2 linked regions of the Anolis sagrei genome follow. The protein of the gene in region 2 purifies or fractionates together with the protein of the main gene of each other region. This does not show direct contact. Links are inferred from orthologs where the notes say so. Each region holds a gene or a part of one and is shown on either strand. Other genes may lie near its edges.

Evidence for each region.
Region 1: the proteins of DYRK1A (region 2) and CDC27 purify together in Homo sapiens (affinity purification with mass spectrometry; 3 studies listed by BioGRID and IntAct, with this or other methods). This does not show direct contact. The link is inferred for Anolis sagrei from reciprocal best matches to the Homo sapiens genes DYRK1A and CDC27.

Annotation. Positions count from the first base shown.
Region 1 is NC_090026.1:44,042,208-44,052,407, forward strand, and holds the start of CDC27 (cell division cycle protein 27 homolog), read left to right. Parts: upstream 1-5,932; 5' UTR 5,933-6,221; coding exon 6,222-6,248; intron 6,249-10,200. UniProt on the Homo sapiens protein: Component of the anaphase promoting complex/cyclosome (APC/C), a cell cycle-regulated E3 ubiquitin ligase that controls progression through mitosis and the G1 phase of the cell cycle.
Region 2 is NC_090023.1:71,920,526-71,931,242, forward strand, and holds the start of DYRK1A (dual specificity tyrosine-phosphorylation-regulated kinase 1A), read left to right. Parts: upstream 1-5,914; 5' UTR 5,915-6,698; intron 6,699-10,717. UniProt on the Homo sapiens protein: Dual-specificity kinase which possesses both serine/threonine and tyrosine kinase activities. Exhibits a substrate preference for proline at position P+1 and arginine at position P-3.

The sequences.
Region 1 (10,200 bases), on a different chromosome or scaffold from region 2:
AGGAGGACAGACCATGGATGATGGGACTTCAAGTACCTCCACTCCCCAAGACTTCTGCAGAACTCATCTAATGACCAATCAAGACCAAAGTTGGCACACAGAGCCCCCATGACCCACTCTACATCCTGCTGCAGTTTTGGAGAAGGGTGGACCATGGATGATGGAACTTCCAGTACCTTCACTCGCATTCTGAGACCTCTGCAAACCTCATCCAATGACGGATCAAGACCAAACTTGGCACATAGACCTCTCATGACCCACGTTACGTCCTGGTGTTGTTTGGAAAACTTTGGAGATGGATGATGGGACTTGCAGTACCTTTGCTCACTTCCTGAGACCACTGAGACCCTCGCCAATCACTAATCAAGACTAAACTTGCCACATGGAGCTCCAATGACCCACTCTACATCCTGGTGCAGTTTGGAGGACAGACCATGGATGATGGGTCTTCAAGTACCTCCACTCCCTTCCGAAGATTGCTGCAACCCTCTTCTAATGACCAATCAAGACCAAACTTGCCACATAGAGCCCCCATGATCCACTCTACATTCTGCTGCTGTTTGAAAGACGATGGACTTTGGATGATGGGACTTGCAGTACCTTCACTCACTTACTGACACCACTGCCACCCTCATCTAATGACTGATAAAGACCAAACTTGCAACCGGAGCCCCCATGACCCACTCTATATCCTGCTGCTGTTTGTAGGAGGATGGGCCATGGATGATGGCACTTCAAGTACCTTCACTCACTTCCTGAAAACAATGCAGCCATTATCCAATGACCAATAAAGACCAAACTTGGCATACAGAACCGCCATTACCCACTTTCTCTAATAACCCGGGCAGCGCCGGGTCCCCAAGCTAGTATATAATAAAGAAGAGTGTTTGTTTGTATAGGACAGAGGAATTGTGGAGGGCGGTGTATGTGCCAGCGTTCTGATTGGCTGCCGCTGTGGTGCTATTTGCATATGGTCTCTGATTGGGCAGCTTCAATAGGAGCCCCTGGTGGAGAAGAGGGTTCATGGCAGAAACAGGGCATGACAGAAGGAAATTTGCATATGGTCTCTGATTGGCCAGCCTCAAATCCAACATTCCGAGATGACAAAGAGAGGAAAGGAAAGGCCAAAGGGGGCTGGGTCAGAACACTCCCAATACAGACCGAAATAGGCACACAGAGCCCCCATCACCCACTCTACATCCTACTGCAGTTTGGAGGACTATGAACCATGGATGATGGGACTTGCAGTACCACCACTCACATTCTGAGACCGCTGTTAACCTTAGCCAATGACTGATCAGGGCCAAACTTCACACATAGACCACTCATGACCCACTTTACGTCCTGGTGTGGTTTGGCCGGGGATGGACCATGGATTATGGGACTTGCAGTACCATTGCTCAATTCTTCATACCACTGCAACCCTCATCCAATTACCAATAAATACCAAACTTGGCACACTGAGTCTCCATGACGCATTCTACATCCAAGTGCAGTTTGAAGGAGGATGCACCATGGACGATGGGACTTCCAATACCTGCACTCCCTTCCTAAGACCATTACAACTGCCAACGATGATGGATCAGGACCACAATTTACACAGAGAGCCTGCATAACTCACTCTACATCCTGGTGCGGTTTGGAAGAATCTGACAGTGGATGATGGGACTTGCAGTCACTTCACTCACTTCCTGAGACCACTGAGACCCTCGCCAATGATTCATCAAGACTAAACTTGGCACATGGAGCTTCAATGACCCACTCTACATCCCGGAGCAGTTTGGGGGACGACAGACCATGGATGATGGGACTTCAAGTACCTCCACTACCCAAGACTGCTGCAAAATTCATCTAATGGCCAATCAAGACCAACGTTGGCACACAGAGCCCCCATGACCCACTCTACATCCTGCTGCAGTTTTGAAGAAGGGTGGACCATGAATGATGGAACTTCCAGTACGTTCACTCACATTCTGAGACCTCTGCAAACCTCATCCAATGACGGATCAAGACCAAACTTGGCACATAGACCTCTCATGACCCACTTTACGTCCTGGTGTTGTTTGGAAAAATTTGGAGATGGATGATGGGACTTGCAGTACCTTTGCTCACTTCCTGAGACCACTGAGACCCTCGCCAATGACTACTCAAGACTAAACTTGCCACATCGAGCTCCAATGACCCACTCTACATCTTGCTGCAGTTTGGAGGAGGACAGACCATGGATGATGGGACTTCAAGTACCTCCACTCCCTTGCAAAAATTGCTGCAACCCTCTTCTAATGACCAATCAAGACCACACTTGGCACACAGAGCCCCCATGATCCACTCTACAGTCTGCTGCAGTTTGAAAGGGGATGGACTTTGGATGATGGGACTTGCAGTACCTTCACTCACTTACTGACACCACTGCCACCCTCATCTAATGACTGATAAAGGCCAAACTTGGCACACAGAGCCCCCATGACCCACTCTATATCCTGCTGCTGTTTGTAGGAGGATGGCCCATGGATGATGGGACTTCAAGTACCTTCACTCACTTCCTGAAAATAATGCAGCTGTTATCCAAAGACCAATAAAGACCAAACTTGGCATACAGAACCGCTATTACCCACTTTCTCTAATAACCCGGGCAACGCCGGGTCCCCAAGCTAGTATAACATATAATACAGTGCAAAGCATTTTATCCCCATTGGCAGCCATTCAGAAGACCTACTCCCTTCCCTGATTGGCTCAGGAATAGTCAAGTAAGGATCTGAGCTGGGGACTCTGTGTGATGTCAGGGGTGCATGGAGTCTCCCTTGTGGTGGGAAAAATGGAAAGCTGCTATTCGTCCACTTGAAGCTGGAACCATTTGGAAGATCCTCCTAGGACAGTGGTTCTCAACCTTTCTAATGCCGCGACCCCTTAATACAGTTCCTCATGTTGTGGTGGCCCCCAACCATCACATTATTTCTGTTGCTACTTCACAACTACAATTTTGCTACTGTTATGAATCATAATATAAATATATGATATCCAGGATGTATTTTCATTCGCTGGACCAAATTTGGCACAAATACCTGATATGCCCCAATTTGAATACTGGTGGGGTTGGCAGGGGATTGATGTTGTCATTTGGGAGTTGAAGTGGCTGAGATTTATAGTTCACCTACAATCAAAGAGCATTATGAACTCCAACAATGGAATTGAACCAATCTTGCCACACAGAATTTTCTTGACTAACAGAAAATACTGGAAGGGTTTGGTGGGCCTTGAGGTTTGGAGTTGTAGTTCACCTATATCCAGAGAGCACTATGGACTCACACAATGATGGATCTGGACCAAACTTGCCATGAATAGTCAACATGCCCAATGTGAATGAACACTGGTGGAGTTTGGGGAAAATAGACCTTGGCATTTGGGAGTTGTAGTTGCTGGGATTTATAGTTCACCTACAATAAAAGATTATTCTGATCCCCACCAATGATAGACTTGGGCCAAACTTCCCACACGGAACCCCTATGACCGACAGAAAATCCTATGTTTTCAGATGGTCTTTGGCGACCCCCCTGACACTCCCTCGTGACCCCCCCCCCCCCAGTTCACCTACAATAAAAGATTATTCTGATCCCCACCAATGATAGACTTGGGCCAAACTTCCCACACGGAACCCCTATGACCGACAGAAAATCCTATGTTTTCAGATGGTCTTTGGTGACCCCCCTGACACTCCCTCGTGACCCCCCCCCAGGGGTCCCAACCCCCAGGTTGAGAAGCACTGTCCTAGGAGAAATGGGGCAAGACTTGGAAAATGATCTGAAATAGTCTAGGTGACAGAGACAAAAGACAACGCTTATGCAAACACTTCAATTACATCTCTAAAGAGGCTTGGCTTCCTGGATGTTCAACACTCCAACAGTTTCTCAAGCACATTTTATATAGTTCACGTTTCTTTGGGTGCTTGATTCTTGTACATATGAGTCCTCTTCCCTGACTGTTCATTAATAAAGAAAACGTAGGTGCAAAGGTTCTCCTCCAGTGGCAGATTAGAAAAAAATGTTATTTCAATACAGTTTTGCATAGTTCTCTTACCAGGGAAGAGGGGAAAAGAGGGAGATAACAACAACAACAACAACAACAACAACAACAACAACAACAACAACAACACTTTGTTTATAAACTGCCTTTATTTATATGTATATTCTGCCTTTATTTATATTTATATTCTGAGGGGACTCAGAGTGGATTACAGTGTGTGTGTGTGTGTGTGTGTGTGTGTTCCCGTACCTTGGGAAGTCTGATCTGACCACAGTGGTCCACGCTCTTGTTACATCCCGAATAGACTACTGCAACACACTCTACGTGGGGTTGCCCTTGAAGACTGTTCGGAAACTTCAACTGGTCCAGCGAGCGGCAGCCAGATTGGTCATCAGAGCGACATACAGGGAGCACACCACCCCCCTGCTGTGTCAGCTCAACTGGCTGCCGGTTCAGTTCCGAGCACAATTCAAGGTGCTGGTTTTGACCTACAAAACCTTTTACGATTCCGGTCCAGTGTATCTGTCCGAACGTATCTCCCTCTACGTCCCGCCCCGTAATGTGAGATCATCTGGGGAGGCCTTACCCTCGACCCCACCGCTTTCACAAGTGAGGCTGGTGGGGACGAGGAGCAGGGCCTTCTCAGTGGTGGCCCCTCACCTGTGGAACTCACTCACGGGGGAAATTAGGGCATCCTCTCCTCTCCTTCAGGAGGAAGGTAAAGACGTGGCTGTGGGACCAGGCCTTTGGGCAATGTGACAATTAGATTTGGACAACCAGATGGATAGGACTGAAAGGACTGACAATTGTGGATTGGAATTTGAACTATGAGATTGCGAAACGCTGACCGTCAATGAGAAGAATGGTTTGTATTGGTTTTACTGCTTTTATGGTTGTTTTTGCCTTACAATAATTACTGTCTCTATTAATTGATGTTACTGCTAGAATTGCCGTTTCTGTTACCTGATGTTATTTGTCTTATTGCTGTTATGTGATGCGGGCATCGAATTGTGCGTTGCTTTTGTAAGCCGCCCTGAGTCCCCTCCGGGGTGAGAAGGGCGGGGTAGAAGCAACCGAAATAAATATGTGTGTGTGTGTGTGTAAACAGACACAGGCAAACATTCAATACCTTGATTACAATGACAGACAATGAGACAACAAATGCATAAACAAAAGCAAAGGCTTCTCCTTTCCTTTCTGGCTCTGGAGGTGGTGCTCACAGCAACCCGGATATGAAAGCTTTCAACAACACATTCAATGGGTTGTTTCCAGTTCAGGAAGGCTGGAAACACTCTGCTTCTGGGTGGGGTGTTTGTAGGTGAAACAACCTGTTGTAAGCACAAAATCCTGCTCGGCAGGTTGTCCTATTCCAACTCCCAATACTCAAGGGGAAAGGTATTGACAGCAATCGGGTATTTTTTTTGCCTCGACCCACTTCGTCTATTTCCGTAACAGGCGCCGAACGTCTTCGTTTATTTCCGGATATTCTCGTGTCCCACTGTAAACGCTTATTAGGAGGCATGTTTATCTTACCCATACATTACTTCCGGGTATTCTCGTTTCCCACTGCAAACGCTTATTTTGATGCATGTTTACCATATGCATACATTAATTACACCATTCAGGCCAAATGTCATACCTATATGATGAGAGACAATGACTCCTAAACATATTTTCAAGATGGAGATTCTTTTTTTCTCTCCCATTTCAAAGCAGGGCCGTTTCGCGCCACTTCGGCGACTTACGTCAAACGGGGCGAAGAAGGACGAGTCCGCGGCCGCTTGGGGGCAGGCGTTGGGAAGCCTTCGTCTCCTTTCGGCTCTTTCCGTGGAGGCGTTCGGGACGCGTTCGGCTCATTCCGTGTCCGCTCGGAAAAGCGCGGAGGAGGAGGCCTCGCCGAGGTCGGGTCTTTCCGTGCCTTTCCGTCGGCGGCTCGGGAAGATTCGGCTCCTGACGGGCCGGGGCCTTCCCTTCCTTCCTTTCCCTTTCCCTCCTGCGCGGCCCGGTTAACGGTCGCAGCCAGTTTAAATGAGACGGGGTGCGGGTGGCCGCTGCTACTACTACAAGTACAACTACTACTACTACTACTATTCCCGCGTCACCCACGGAGGCGGAGTCTGAGGGGGGAACAGAGAGAGGAGGGGGCGCCCTGGGCCCACCTCCCTCATCCGGGTCCTGTCCCTGAGGGGAAGCCGGGGAGGATGACGGTGCTGCAGGAACCCGTCCAGGTAGGGACCCCGCGGGCCAGAGAGAGAGAGAGGCCTACGCCGGGCGGCGGGAGGAAGCAGGCAGGCAGGCCAGCCGGCCGAGGAGCCTCTCCCTCCGCCTCCCCGCCGGGAAAAGGCTGCTGCCGAGCCAGGGAAGTGCCTCCCGTGGAACTCTTCGCCCAGGACCTTCTCCCAAGAGGCTGGAAGGAGCCATGTGGAGGGAGGGAGGGAGGGAAGGAGGGCTTCAAGGGGGTCCTTGCCCCCCCCTCCTGCCCTCAACATTAACCCCTGATCAGGAAAACGTCGCCCACCCTCCTCCCAAACCTTCCAGATCCTCTCCTGGGTTGCTCTTCACATAAAGCATGCACACACATTAAGTTATTAGTATGACATCATGGCACTACAGGTAGACTCACCCTCCTAAATATCTAAAATTATGTTCAGCCTTTCTCCCCATCCATCATCTCCACCTGAAAAAGCATTAAGTTATGAACATGACATCAGGCAACTTTCAGGGCCCTTTCCACGCAGCCATCTCACCCAGAATATCAAGGCAGGTCATCCACAACATCCCAAATCATAAAATTTATGTTCAGCCTTTCTTCCCATTCCTAATCTCTATCGTAAAAAGCGTTAAATTATCAATAAGACATCAGGGCCCTTCCACGCAGCCATCCCACCCAGAATATCATGGGCCCTTCTACACAGCCATCTCACCCAGAATATCATGGCAGGCCATCCACAATATCCCAAATCACAAAATTTGTGTTCAGCCTTTCTCCCCATTCCTAATCTCTATCGTAAAAAGCGTTAAGTTATCAATAAGACATCTGGGCCCTTCCACGCAGCCATCCCACCCAGAATATCATGGGCCCTTCTACACAGCCATCTCATCCAGAATATCATGGCAGGTCATCCACAACATCCCAAATCACAAAATTTATGTTCAGCCTTTCTTCCCATTCTTAATCTCTATCGTAAAAAGCGTTAAGTTATCAATAAGACATCAGGGCCATTCCACACAGCCATCCCACCCAGAATATCATGGGCCCTTCTATACAGCCATCTCACCCAGAATATCAAGGCAGGTCATCCACAACATCCCAAATCATAAAATTTATGTTCAGCCTTTCTTCCCATTCCTAATCTCTATCGTAAAAAGCGTTAAATTATCAATAAGACATCAGGGCCCTTCCACGCAGCCATCCCACCCAGAATATCATGGGCCCTTCTACACAGCCATCTCACCCAGAATATCATGGCAGGCCATCCACAATATCCCAAATCACAAAATTTGTGTTCAGCCTTTCTCCCCATTCCTAATCTCTATCGTAAAAAGCGTTAAGTTATCAATAAGACATCTGGGCCCTTCCACGCAGCCATCCCACCCAGAATATCATGGGCCCTTCTACACAGCCATCTCATCCAGAATATCATGGCAGGTCATCCACAACATCCCAAATCACAAAATTTATGTTCAGCCTTTCTTCCCATTCTTAATCTCTATCGTAAAAAGCGTTAAGTTATCAATAAGACATCAGGGCCATTCCACACAGCCATCCCACCCAGAATATCATGGGCCCTTCTATACAGCCATCTCACCCAGAATATCATGGCAGGTCATCCACAACATCCCAAATCACAAAATTTATGTTCAGCCTTTCTTCCCATTCCTAATCTCTATCGTAAAAAGCGTTAAGTTATCAATAAGACATCAGGGCCCTTCCACACAGCCATCCCACCCAGAATATAATGGGCCCTTCTACACAGCCATCTCACCCAGAATATCATGGCAGGTCATCCACAATATCCCAAATCACAAAATTTATGTTCAGCCTTTCTTCCCATTCCTAATCTCTATCGTAAAAAGCGTTAAGTTATCAATAAGACATCAGGGCCATTCCACACAGCCATCCCACCCAGAATATCATGGGCCCTTCTACACAGCCATCTCACCCAGAATATCATGGCAGGTCATCCACAACCTCCCAAATCACAAAATTTATATTCAGCCTTTCTTCCCATTCCTAATTTCTATCGTAAAAAGCATTAAGTTATCAATAAGACATCAGGGCCCTTCCATACAGCCATCTCACCCAGAATATCATGGCAGGTCATCCACAATATCCCAAATCACAAAATTTATGTTCAGCCTTTCTGCCCATCCCTCATCTCCACATTTAAAAGAAGGCATTGTGATTAAAATGACATCTTGTCACTACAGGTTTTGAGTTCTCCCTCCCAAATCTTGGAAATTATGCCCTGCCTTTTTTCCCATTCCTAATCTCCGTTTTAAAAAGCATTAAGTTATCAATATGACATCAGGGTCCTTCCACACAGCCATCTCACCCAGAATATCATGGCAGGTCATCCACGACATCCTAAATCATAAAATTTATGTTCAGCCTTTCTTCCCATTCCTAATCTTTATCGTAAAAAGCATTAAGTAATCAATAAGACATCTGAGCCCTTCCACACAGCCATATCACCCAGAATATCATGGCAGGTCATCTACAATATCCCAAATCACAAAATGTATGTTCAGCCTTTCTCCCCATTTCTAATCTCTATCGTAAAAAGCATTACGTTACCAGTAAGACATCAGGGCCCTTCCACACAGCCATCTCACCCAGAATATGATGGCAGATCATCCGCAATATCCCAAATCATAAAATTTATGTTCAGCCTTTCTTCCCATTCCTAATCTCTATCGTAAAAAGCATTAAGTAATCAATAAGACATCAGGGCCCTTCCACACAGCCATCCCACCCAGAATATAATGGGCCCTTCTGCACAGCCGTCTCACCCAGAATATCATGGCAGATCATCCACAATATCCCAAATCATAAAATGTATGTTCACCTTTCTAGCCATTCCTAATTTCTATCGTAAAAAGCATTAAGTTATCAATAAGACATCAGGGCCCTTCCATACAGCCATCTCACCCAGAATATCATGGCAGGTCATCCACAATATCCCAAATCACAAAATTTATGTTCAGCCTTTCTGCCCATCCCTCATCTCCACATTTAAAAGAAGGCATTGTGATTAAAATGACATCTTGTCACTACAGGTTTTGAGTTCTCCCTCCCAAATCTTGGAAATTATGCCCTGCCTTTTTTCCCATTCCTAATCTCCGTTTTAAAAAGCATTAAGTTATCAATATGACATCAGGGTCCTTCCACACAGCCATCTCACCCAGAATATCATGGCAGGTCATCCACGACATCCTAAATCATAAAATTTATGTTCAGCCTTTCTTCCCATTCCTAATCTTTATCGTAAAAAGCATTAAGTAATCAATAAGACATCTGGGCCCTTCCACACAGCCATATCACCCAGAATATCATGGCAGGTCATCTACAATATCCCAAATCACAAAATGTATGTTCAGCCTTTCTCCCCATTTCTAATCTCTATCGTAAAAAGCATTACGTTACCAGTAAGACATCAGGGTCCTTCCACACAGCCATCTCACCCAGAATATCATGGCAGGTCATCCACGACATCCTAAATCATAAAATTTATGTTCAGCCTTTCTTCCCATTCCTAATCTTTATCGTAAAAAGCATTAAGTAATCAATAAGACATCTGGGCCCTTCCACACAGCCATCTCACCCAGAATATGATGGCAGATCATCCGTAATATCCCAAATCACAAAATTTATATTCAGCCTTTCTCCCCATTCCCAATCTCCATCTTAAAAAGCATTAAGTTATCAATAAGACATCAGGGCCCTTCCACAAAGCCATCTGAGTCTTCCTTCCAAATCTCCAAAAGTATGTCCTGCTTTTTTTCCTCATCTCTCATCTCCACAATCAGAAACCATTGTACTCATGTGACATCATATCACTTCAGGTTGAGTCTCCCTCCTAAATCTCCAAAATTATCTCCTGCTTTTCTCCTCATCTCCACATTTAAAACAAACAAACAATTGGTATTAGTATGACATCATATCATTACAAGTTAAGT
Region 2 (10,717 bases):
ATTCATTAATTTTTAAAAACTGGTTTGCAAACTGGGAAGTCTGACTTGGCCACGGTGGTACACGCTCTTGTCACATCCCGCCTAGACCACTGCAACGCTCTCTACGTGGGGCTGCCCCTGAAGACGGCCCGGAAGCTGCAACTAGTCCAACGCGCGGCAGCCATGATTCTAACGGGAGCGGAGCGCAGGGAGCACACAACCCCCGTTGCACCAGCTCCACTGGCTGCCAATTTGCTACCAGGCCCAATTCAAGGTGTTGGTACTGGCCTATAAAGCCCTAAACGGTTCCGGCCCAAGATACCTATCTGACCGCATCTCGGCCTATGAACCCACCCGGACTTTGAGATCTTCCGGGGAGGCCCTGCTCTCGATCCCGCCAGCCTCTCAAGCACGGTTGAGATAGGGCCTTCTCGGTGGTGGCTCCTCGGCTGTGGAACGCCCTTCCTGTAGACTGGCACCATCTCTCATGACATTCCGTAGAAAGTTGAAGACCTGGATGTTTGTGCAGGCGTTTTGAGTAATTCAGTGCAATTCTGGTAATTTGAACATAGGAACGGAACAATGGATGACGAATTTGGATCACGTTTGGATGATGAGGTGATCGGGGGTGGGATTTGTGATAACTGTGTATTGATGATTGTTTATTAGCTAGTAATGGAAATGTGTAATTTAACTGTTATTGCATATTAATTATTGCTGTTTTTATTGTCTTTGCTGTTTGCTGTTTGGAAACCGCTGTGAGTCGCCCTCAGGCTTGAGATACAGCGGTATACAAGAATAGTAAATAAATAAAAATAAATAAATATAAAGGCTCCCCATAGAAAAATGAAGTGCTTGAGCTACTTTGCCTCAGTAGTTTTTTAGAGTAAATATACTGCAAACCAGTTTGATGATTTTTCTTTCCATGTATTTCAAACATTACTCCTGCTCCTTAGAAGTTTTGTTTTAAATATGGTCATTATCGGTACAGTCCCCTATAAACTAGAAGGCACTTAAGGACAGACTAAGCCATTGACTACTCTATAGCCAGATGCTGAATTGCTGTCATTCACTATTTAGGTCTTGTACCAATATTTATAAATATTATTGCATTCATTGGAGTTTACAACGATGCAAATGTATTAAGAAATGCAGTTCAAATCAGCTTTTAAAATAATTTATTGATGCATCCATTTAATTAACAAACTTTTGCCATACAAATCTTATTTCGATATACATTATTCCAAAAGTCACTTTACCTCAAATGTCACTTTCTGTATTCCTTAGATGTGTATCACCCATTACCCATGCCCTCCCCCCCATCTTCCCACTCCCTCCTGGAACAGTGATTTCAAATTATCTATATAAATAAAAGTGTTTGGGAAGGGAAAGGCAGGGGCTTGAGAAAAGTATCTGTGGGTCACCTTTCTTTCCCTCCCTCTCCCCAGCAGTTCTCTCTCAACTGTTGGTTTTTTCCCCCTTCGTGCGGGGGGGGGGGTGCAGGAAGGTGTCGTTTTAACGCGTGGTCTATATAGCCATTCAGGCTTGTGGGGGTTTAAGCACTTTCCGGTTTTTTTTTTGGTTGATTTTTTTTGAGGACATAGCAAGGACATAGATTGCTATGGTAGGTGTCTTGTGTGCAAATTTGGGGTCAATTCGTCCAGTGGTTTTCAAGTTCTGTTAATCCCACAAATGAATATTACATTTTTATTTATATAGATAAAGATGGAAGAAGCAGCAGAAATACACAGGAGGGATACAATTTTAACATGTAATTGTCTGGATTTTCCATATTCCCAAATCCTTGAAAAAAGGATCACAGAAGGATAGAGTTGGAAGAGATCACAAGGGCCATGTAGTCCAAGATAGAGCAATTATACATTAACTGTATCTACACATATCCTTACAATGATAAGAGAGTGCTATGTGGTTTGTTTCATATATGGAACGTTTGCTTCATTCACTTAATGGCTGAAAAATATATGTACAAGATTGTGTAGTGTTGCTTTTTTCGTGTCAGGAGCGACTTGAGAAACTGCAAGTCGCTTCTGGTGTAAGAGAATTGGCCATCTGCAAGGATATTGCCCAGGGGACACCCATTCTGTGGGAGGCTTCTCTCATGTCCCTGCATGAGAAGGTGGAGCTGACAGACGGGAGCTCACCCAGCTCTCTGGGTTCAAACCAACCGTTGCCCAGGGGACACCGGGATGTTTTCCCATCCTGTGGGACACTTCTCTCATGTCTCTGCATGGGAAGCTGAAGCTGACAAACAGAAGCTCACTCCGCTCCCTGGATTCGAACCACCAACCTGCTAGCACAAGGTTTTAACCCATTGCGCCACCGGGGGCTCCTGTAGTGCTGCTGACAGCAGTAAGGTTTTCAAATCATACAGCAGCCTTGGCTCTCACAGTTGAGAAACCTCTGAAGATATGGTTCATAGTTCAAAAATCTTACAAGTCATGGCCTGTGACTGAACTAGGCATGCCCTCACTTAGTAGGGCAAGTATGCCTAAGTGTTTCTTAAAGGAAGAAAGGGTGGAAGGAAGAAGGGAGAAAGAGGGAAGGAATGCGGGGAGGAAAGAGAAGGAAGGAATGAGATGCAGCATATCCAATTATAAGTGGCATGAAAAAATGCAGGGCTTATCAAGCAGGGTTCTGTGTGAGGTCACTGGTTCCTGCAAGAGACTATGACTGAAAAAACAAACATTTATATAAGCTATAAGTATAATAATTTTAATGCAAGGATTCTTTGGTTTATCTATGCTGTGGAGTAAATGCCATGCTCAGTGCTGTGGAACCCTAGAGAGGCACCCACACACTTTGGCACAGAAGGCTAAAGACCTTGCAGAATTACAACTCCCAAGACTCCACAGCACTGAGCCATGGCAATTAAAGTGATGTCAACCTGCATTAATTCTACAGTGTAGTTGCAGCCTCTGAGCCCAGAAAATTATTTCTGAGGTTCTTCTAGGTAAAAAAAAATGTTGAGAAATACTGTTTTAGTGCTTGTATGGAAGTTCAGCAGATGCTGGTTACATGACAAGCAAGACTTGCAGAAATCTTCTCTTCTGCATAAGCAATAATTGGTTTGGAATCTTTGCCCTTATTACACTTAGTTGCCTTAAAGCAGGTATGGGTAAACCCAGATCTGGGGGTTGGATTTGGCCCCTTGGGCTCTTTTCTCAGACTCTCCTCTCTCTCGGTATCCTGTCTTCCTTCTCTCTCTCTCCTTCCCTCCCTTCCATTTTGTCCTTCCTTCCTTCTCTTTCTTCCCTCCATTTCTTCCCTCTTTCTCCCTCCTTCCTTCCACCCTTTCTTCCTTCTCTTTTTCCTTTCTCCTCCTCTCCCTTTTCCTTCCTTCCATCCTTCCCCTCCTTCCTTCCATCACCAGGCTGCCAGTCCTCTTAGCAGGGAATGCTAGCATGTGGCCCTCAAGTCAGGTTTGCCCATGCCTACCCTAAGGACAATTGATCTCTGATATTATATTGGGACAGGGCTTTGTCATTTTGCCTGTTCAGATGTATTTTGTAGCTTCCATAATCCTGCCTCATCAGGTTATCTATGCTGCCCATCCCATATTAGGGCGTGGCTAACAGTGCCAATGGGAAACAGTCCGCTTTATGGATTCAACCTCTTGAAAATACCTATTTTTTTAAAAAATCCCAAAAGCAAACCTTGATTTTTTTACTATACACACACACACACACTTGAGTATAAGCCGACCCGAATATAAGCTGAGGTGTCTAATTTTATCACAAAAAATTGGGAAATAGTATGAACTCGAGTATAAACCGAGGGTGGGAAATCCAGCAGCTATGGGCCAATTTCAAAATAAAAAATAGATATAAATGAAATTAAATTAATGGAGGCATCAGGAGGTGAAATGTTTTTGAATTTTTACATAAAACTGTAATTTATGTCAAACTCTGATTAAACCATTACTCTAACCTTCTTCAGCGTAAATGTGCTTGTGTATCCTTCCAATAATAAAGAGAGCAAAATAATGGAAATGTAAGAATAACAGTAATAATAGAGTAACATAACAAATGTAATAACAGTAATAATAGTAATAATAATAATGGAGTAAAATAATAAATGTAATAAAATAATAATAATAGAGTAAATAAAATGTAATAAAATTATAATAGAGAAAAATAAATGTAATAATAATAGATTAAAATAATAAATGTAATAATGATAATAATAAAGTAAAATAATGTAAATGTAATAATAATAACAAATAGAATAAAAGATTAAATACAAATAATACTAATAACAGAGTAAAATAATAAATAACCTTGACTCAAGTATAAGTCAAGGGGGGGGGGTCAGCCTAAAAAGGGGGCTGAAAAACTAGGCTTATACTCGAGTATATACAGTATATCTACAACTACATCATTGTATACATCATTGCTTAAGCAGCTGAGAGGGAAAAGAAAGGGGCCTGAGGCTGTTAGGAATGGTGGGAGCTGATGTCCAAAACACCTGGAGGGAAGGCCCAAGTGTGCCCATAGATCTGCAGTGTACCATTAATGCAATTTGAGGCCACTTTAACTGCCATGATCCCCTGCTTTGGAATACAGGGAGTTGTAGTTTGGCGAGGCCCCAGATTTCATTAGCAGAGGCTTGTCAAAGTAGCATGGCGATTAAAGTGGTCCCTAATGGCAGGAACTCAACCCCAAAACTAGGGCCAAATAATGCGGTGTGGAACCATATAATGCAGTTCCAAACCGCATTATTAGGCAGCGAAAATCCAGCCTGGGAGGTGTTTAAAATCTCCCAGCGAGGGCGAGAAGGCGCCCCTGCAAGCGAGGAGGCTGCCCTGGCCCCTTCTTTCCTTCCTTCGGGGCGCCTTCCTGGCCCTCCTCCTTCCCTTGCGCCGGGTCTTCGGGGCTCCGTCTCCGCCAAGGCCCCATGGCTCCCATCCTCGGTAGAGAGGCCTTGGCGCCACCGCGGGCGAACGGGTGCCGGGCCTCGCCTTTTCCCCTTTCAGCAGCACTGTCAGAAAGAAACCCAGCGGCACACTCCCCTTCCTCTCGCTCCGGCCTTTGTATGATATCCATTTGACGGAGATGCTTGTCCGAAGCCACTTGGACCACACCGCGGAGACGGAAGAACACCACAGCGAGTCGGCACCGAGCACGGATGTGAGAGGCCTGCGGTCCCTTCTTTTCTTCCTTCTCCTCACCTTGAAGCGGGACTGCTCCGTCCCGTCCCCATGGCAACCCGCGAGAAGACCCACCAGGAAGGCAGGCAGGCAGGCAGGCAGGCAGGCGCGAGGGGTAGCCCCAGTACCGCGTGCGTGCGCGCGCGCGCTCCTGCTCGCAGGCTCCTCGGAATTTATAACAACAGGAACGAAGCAGCAGTCGCCAAGGCGACCAAGCTCCGCCTCCTTCGACCCATTCCCTTTCCCTCCCTTTCCTCAAGCGCGGATTCCCGCCTGGCAGCGGGCGGGGCCCTGACGGCATGATTGACAGGAACGAAGCACTAGTCGCCAAGGCGACCAAGCTCCGCCTCCTTCGACCCATTCCTTTCCCTCCCTTTCCTCAAGCGCGGATTCCCGCCTGGCAGCGGGCGGGGCCCTGACGGCATGATTGACAGGAACGAAGCACTAGTCGCCAAGGCGACCAAGCTCCGCCTCCTTCGACCCCTTCCTCTTTCCTCAAGCGCGGATTCCCGCCTGGCAGGGGCGGGGCCGTGGCGGCGTGATTGACAGTTGTCATAGTAACAGGCTCTCCCGGCCGCCATTTTGTCAGTTGGGCCTCTTTAAAAAAAGATTTTTTTTTTTACAATTTCCCCCCTCTTCCCGCCTAAATGAGCTAATTTCCGAGTGGGTTATATTAGAAATCCCCTCACGGAAGCTTTACTTTTTTAAATATATATATATTATTTTGAGGTAGTTGAGGTTTTATTTTTTTTGAAATCTGATTCTCGTCAGCGGAGGCCGAAAGGAGCAAGCGAGGCGGCTGCGCGCGCACTCCCGCCCGCCCGCGTGAGAGAGTGAGTGTGTGTGTGTGGCTGGAGCTTAGTTCCAGAGAAGCCGGCAGTGAGGAGGGAGGGGAAGGAGCGAGAGCGAAGGAGGGAGGGAGAGAGAGAGAGAGAGAGGGGAGGAGAGCCAGCCAGCCAGCGAGCGAGCGAGCGAGCGAGGAGTTTCCCGGGGGCTCGGTTCAAGCGCCGCGCTGTCCTCCTTCCTTCCTGCCTCTGCCTTCCTCGCTCGGCCCGGCCTCACCGCAGCCGTTGAAGCCTCCTCCTCCTCCGCCGCCGCCACTGCTACTCCGACGCTGGGTCCGGGCCCAGGCTGGCCGTTCGCTGCGCAGGTTTGGAACGCGCGCCATTTTGTGAGCGAGAGGAAAGACAGCCTTCCCGGCCAGGAAACGCCGCGGATCCGCCCGCCGGGCCGGGCCACCTCCCTTCTTGCCTGCCTGCCTACCTCCCTCCAAAAGGGAGGGAGGGAGGGAGGGGGTGCGTGGTTGGCTCCGCTCCGGGGCCACGAAGGCCCTGAAGAACAAGGAGGAGGAGGAGGAGGAAAAGACGACAGCGGGGACGCCGCTGAGGGCTGGGCCGAGCCGGACCTCCGCGGCTTGAGGCGGGGAATGAACTGAGGGCGCCTCCCGCCACTGCCGCCGCCGCCGGGAAAGGAGGCCTCGGTCGGGATTATTGCAGGCCCTGCGGACAGGAACCCGAGGAGGACGGGGAGGCGGCCACCGCCCCAGACCCGGGTAAGTGAGTGAGTGAACGAGTGAGTGAGTGGCGGGGCCTCCGCGGCGAAGAGAGGGAGGCTGAGGAGGGCCGCTGCCATCTTGAAGAGGAGGAGGAGGAGGCCGGCCTGGAGGAAAGCGGGAGGCAGCGGCGCCGGCTTCCTCCCTTCCTCCGATCAGGCAGGGAAACCGCGAAGGCGCCGGAGGAGGCCTGGCTGAGAGGGATCCATGGCGCGCACCTGGGCTACGAAGGAAGGCCCTGCTTTTATTTTTTGGGGTGGGGGGAGAAGTGGACAGGTGGGCCTCCCCCTCCTCTCTACTTTCCCGCCCTCCGCACCTGTTGTCGGGCTGTTTGGACGGTGTGGCAGCCCAGGCTGACGAGGAGAAGTGTTTCTGTCAGCCGAGGGCCGCTGCAGCACGTACCTGTCCTATCTACTGTGTCACTCAGAGGGAGAATGCACCTGAACGGGGGGAAATCAGGACTGGTTCTCAATTTATAATTAAAAAAAATCATTCCTAGACCACCCTTTCACCCCCCAAAGGACTCGATCTATAACTTAGGAGGGAATGATTTGGATTGGGATCGTTAATTGAAATTTATTCTTCTCTCTCAGTATAGGCTGAATGGCCATCGTCCTGGGGTGTTTTGATTGTGTGTTCCTGCATGGCAAGGGATGGACTGGATGGTCCTTGTGGTCTCTCCCAACTTTTTGATTCTTATGGGGAAAGAACTAGGGTTTTTTTTTTTTTTTTTACAATTATTTCTATATTATGAGTTCAAATTACAGGAAAGGAGATTCCGCCTCAACATTAGGAAGAACTTCCTAACTGGGAGAGCTGTTCAACAGTGAAACTTTCTGCCCTGGAATGAGGTGGAGGCTCCTTCTTGGGAGGCTTTTAAGCGGAGGCTGGATGGTCTTCTCTCAGGGGAGCTTTGATTGTGTGTTCCTGCATGGCAAGGGATGGACTGGATGGTAGTCTCTCCCAATTCTTTGATTCTTATGGGCAAAGAAGCAGGGGGGCTAAGGTAGTTATTTCTGAATTATGAGTTCTAATTACAGGAAAGGATATTCTGCTTAGACATTAGGAAGAACTTCATAAGTGTGAGAGCTGTTCAGCAGTGGAACCCTCTGGCCCAGAGTATGATGGAGGCACCTTCTTCGGAGTCTTTTAAACAGAGTCTGGATGACCATCCATCTGGGGTACTTTGATGGTGTGTTTTAGCATGGCAAGGGAGGACTGGATGGCCCTTGTAGTAATTTCCAACTCTTTGATCCTTATGGGCAAAGAAGTAGGGGTGTTTTGGTAGTAATTTCTGAATTATGAGTTCAAATTACAGGAAAGCAGATTCCGCATGAACATTTGGAAGAACTTTCTAACGGGGAGCTGTTCAGCAGTGGAACTCTCTACCCCGGAGTGTGGCGGAGGCTCCTTCTTCAGAGACTTTTGAACAGAGGCTGGATGGTTTTCTGTCTGGGGTGCTTTGATTGTGTATTCCTGCTTGGCAAAGGAGGGACTGGATGGGCCTTGTAGTCTCTTTAAACTCTTTGATCCTTATGGGCAAGGAAGTCGGGGTTTTTTGGTAGTAATTTCTGAATTATGAGTTCAAATTACAGGAAAGCAAATTCCGCCTGAACATTTGGAAGAACTTTCTAACGGAGAGCTGTTCAGCAGTGGAACTCTCTACCCTGGAGTGTGGCGGAGGCTCCTTCTTCGGAGACTTTTGAACAGAGGCTGGGTGGTTTTCTGTCTGGGGTGCTTTGATTGTGTATTCCTGCTTGGCAAAGGAGGGACTGGATGGGCCTTGTAGTCTCTTTAAACTCATTGATCCTTATGGGCAAAGAAGTAGGGGTTTTTTGGTAGTAATTTCTGAATTATGAGTTCAAATTACAGGAAAGGAGATTATGTCCTAAACATTAGGAAGGACTTCCTAACTGTGAGAGCTGTTCAGCAGTGGAACTCTGCTCTGGAGTGTGGTTGAGGCTCCTCCTTCGGAGGCTTTTGAACAGAGGCTTGATGGTCTTCTGTCAGGGGTGCTTTGATTGTGTGTTCCTGCATGGCAACGGATGAACTGGATGGTGGTCTCTCCCAACTCTTTGATTCTTATTGTGCAAAGAAGGAGCGGGGCTTTTGGTAGTTATTTCTGAATTATGAGTTCAAATTACAGGAAAGCCGATTCTGCCTGAACATTAGGAAGAACTTTGTAACTGTGAGAGCTGTTCAGGAGTGAAACTCTGCTCCTTAGTGTGGTGGAGGCTCCTTCTTTGGAGGCTTTTGAACAGAAGCTGGCTGGCCATCAGTCCAGGGTGCTTTGATTGTGTGTTCCTGCATGGCAAGGGATGGACTGGATGGCCCGTGTAGTCTCTTCTAACTCTTTGATTTTTATGGGAAAAGAAGTAGGGGCTTTTTTGTAGTAATTTCTGAATTATGAGTTCAAATTACAGGAAAGCAGATTTTGCCTGAACATTAGGAAGAACTTCCTAACTGTGAGGGCTGGTCAGCAGTGAAACACTCTACCCTTGAATGAGGTGGAGGCTCCTCCTTTGGAGGCTTTTGAACAGAGGCTGGATGGTCTTCTGTCAGGGGTGCTTTGATTGTGTGTTCCTGCATGGCAAGGGATGGACTGGATGGTGTTCTCTCCCAATTCTTTGATTCTTATTTGCAAAGAAGTAGGGGGGCTTTTGGTTGTTCTTTCTGAATTATGTGTTCAAATTACAGGAAAGGAGATTCTGCCTGAACATTAGGAAGAACTTCCTAACTGTGAGAACTGTTAAGCAGTGAAACACTCTGCTCCGGAGTGTGACGGAGGTTCCTTTGGAGGTTTTGAACAGAGTCTGGATGGCCATCCGTCCGGGGTGCTCTGATTGTGTGTTCCTGCATGGCAAGCAATGGATTGGACGGCCCTTTTAGTCCCTTCCAACTCTTTGATTCTTATGGGCAAAGAAGTGGGGGGGGGGGGGTTGGTAGTTTTTTCTGAATTATGAGTTTAAATTACAGAAAAGGAGATTCCACCTGAACATTAGGAAGAACTTCCTAACTGTGAGAGCTGTTCAGCAGTGAAACACTCTCCCCTGGAATGTGGTAGAGGCTTCTTCTCTAGAGGCTTGAACAGAGGCTGGATGGTTTTCTGTCCGGGGTGCTTTGATTGTGTGTTCTTGCATGGCAAGGGATGGACTGGATGGCCCTTGTAGTCCCATCCAACTTTTTGATTCTTATCGGCAAAGAAGTAGGGTTTTGTTAGGGTAGTTTTTTTCTGAATTTGGAATTGAAATTACCGAAAAGAAGATTCTGCCTGAATATTTGGAAGAACTTTCCAACTGTGAGAGCAGTGGGACTCTCTGCTGCAGTGTGTGGTGGAGGCTCCTTCTTCAGAGGTTTTTGAATAGAGGCTGGATGGTCTTCTGTCAGGGGTGCTTTGATTATGTGTTCCTTCATGGCAAGGGAGGGACTGGATGGCCCTTGTAGTTTCTTCCAACTTTTTGATTCTTATTTGCAAAGAAGTAGGGTTTTTTTGGTAGTATTTTTCTGAATTATGAGTTCAAATTACAGGAAAGGAGATTCCGCCTGAACATTAGGAAGAACTTCCTAACTGTGAGTGCTATTCAGCAGTGAAACTCTCTGCCTTGGAATGAGGTGGAAGCTCCTCCTTTGGAGGCTTTTAAACAGAGGCTTGATGGTCTTCTGTCAGGTGTGCTTTGATTGTGTTACTGCATGGCAGGGGATGGACTGGATGGCTCTTGTGGTCTCTTCCAACTTGTTGATTCCTATGGGCAAAGAAGTAGGGGTCTTTCTGGTAGTTATTTCTGAATTTTGAGTTCAAATTACAGGAAAGGAGATTCCGCCTGAACATTAGGAAGAACTTCCTAACTGTGAGAGCTGTTCAGCAGTGGAACTCTTTGCCCCGGTGTGATGGAGGCTCCTTCTTCGGAGTCTTTTAAACAGAGGCTGGATGGCCATCCGTCCAGGATGCTTTGATTGTATGTTCCATCATGGCAAGGGAAGGACTGGATGGCCCTTGTAGTCTTTTCCAACTCAATGAT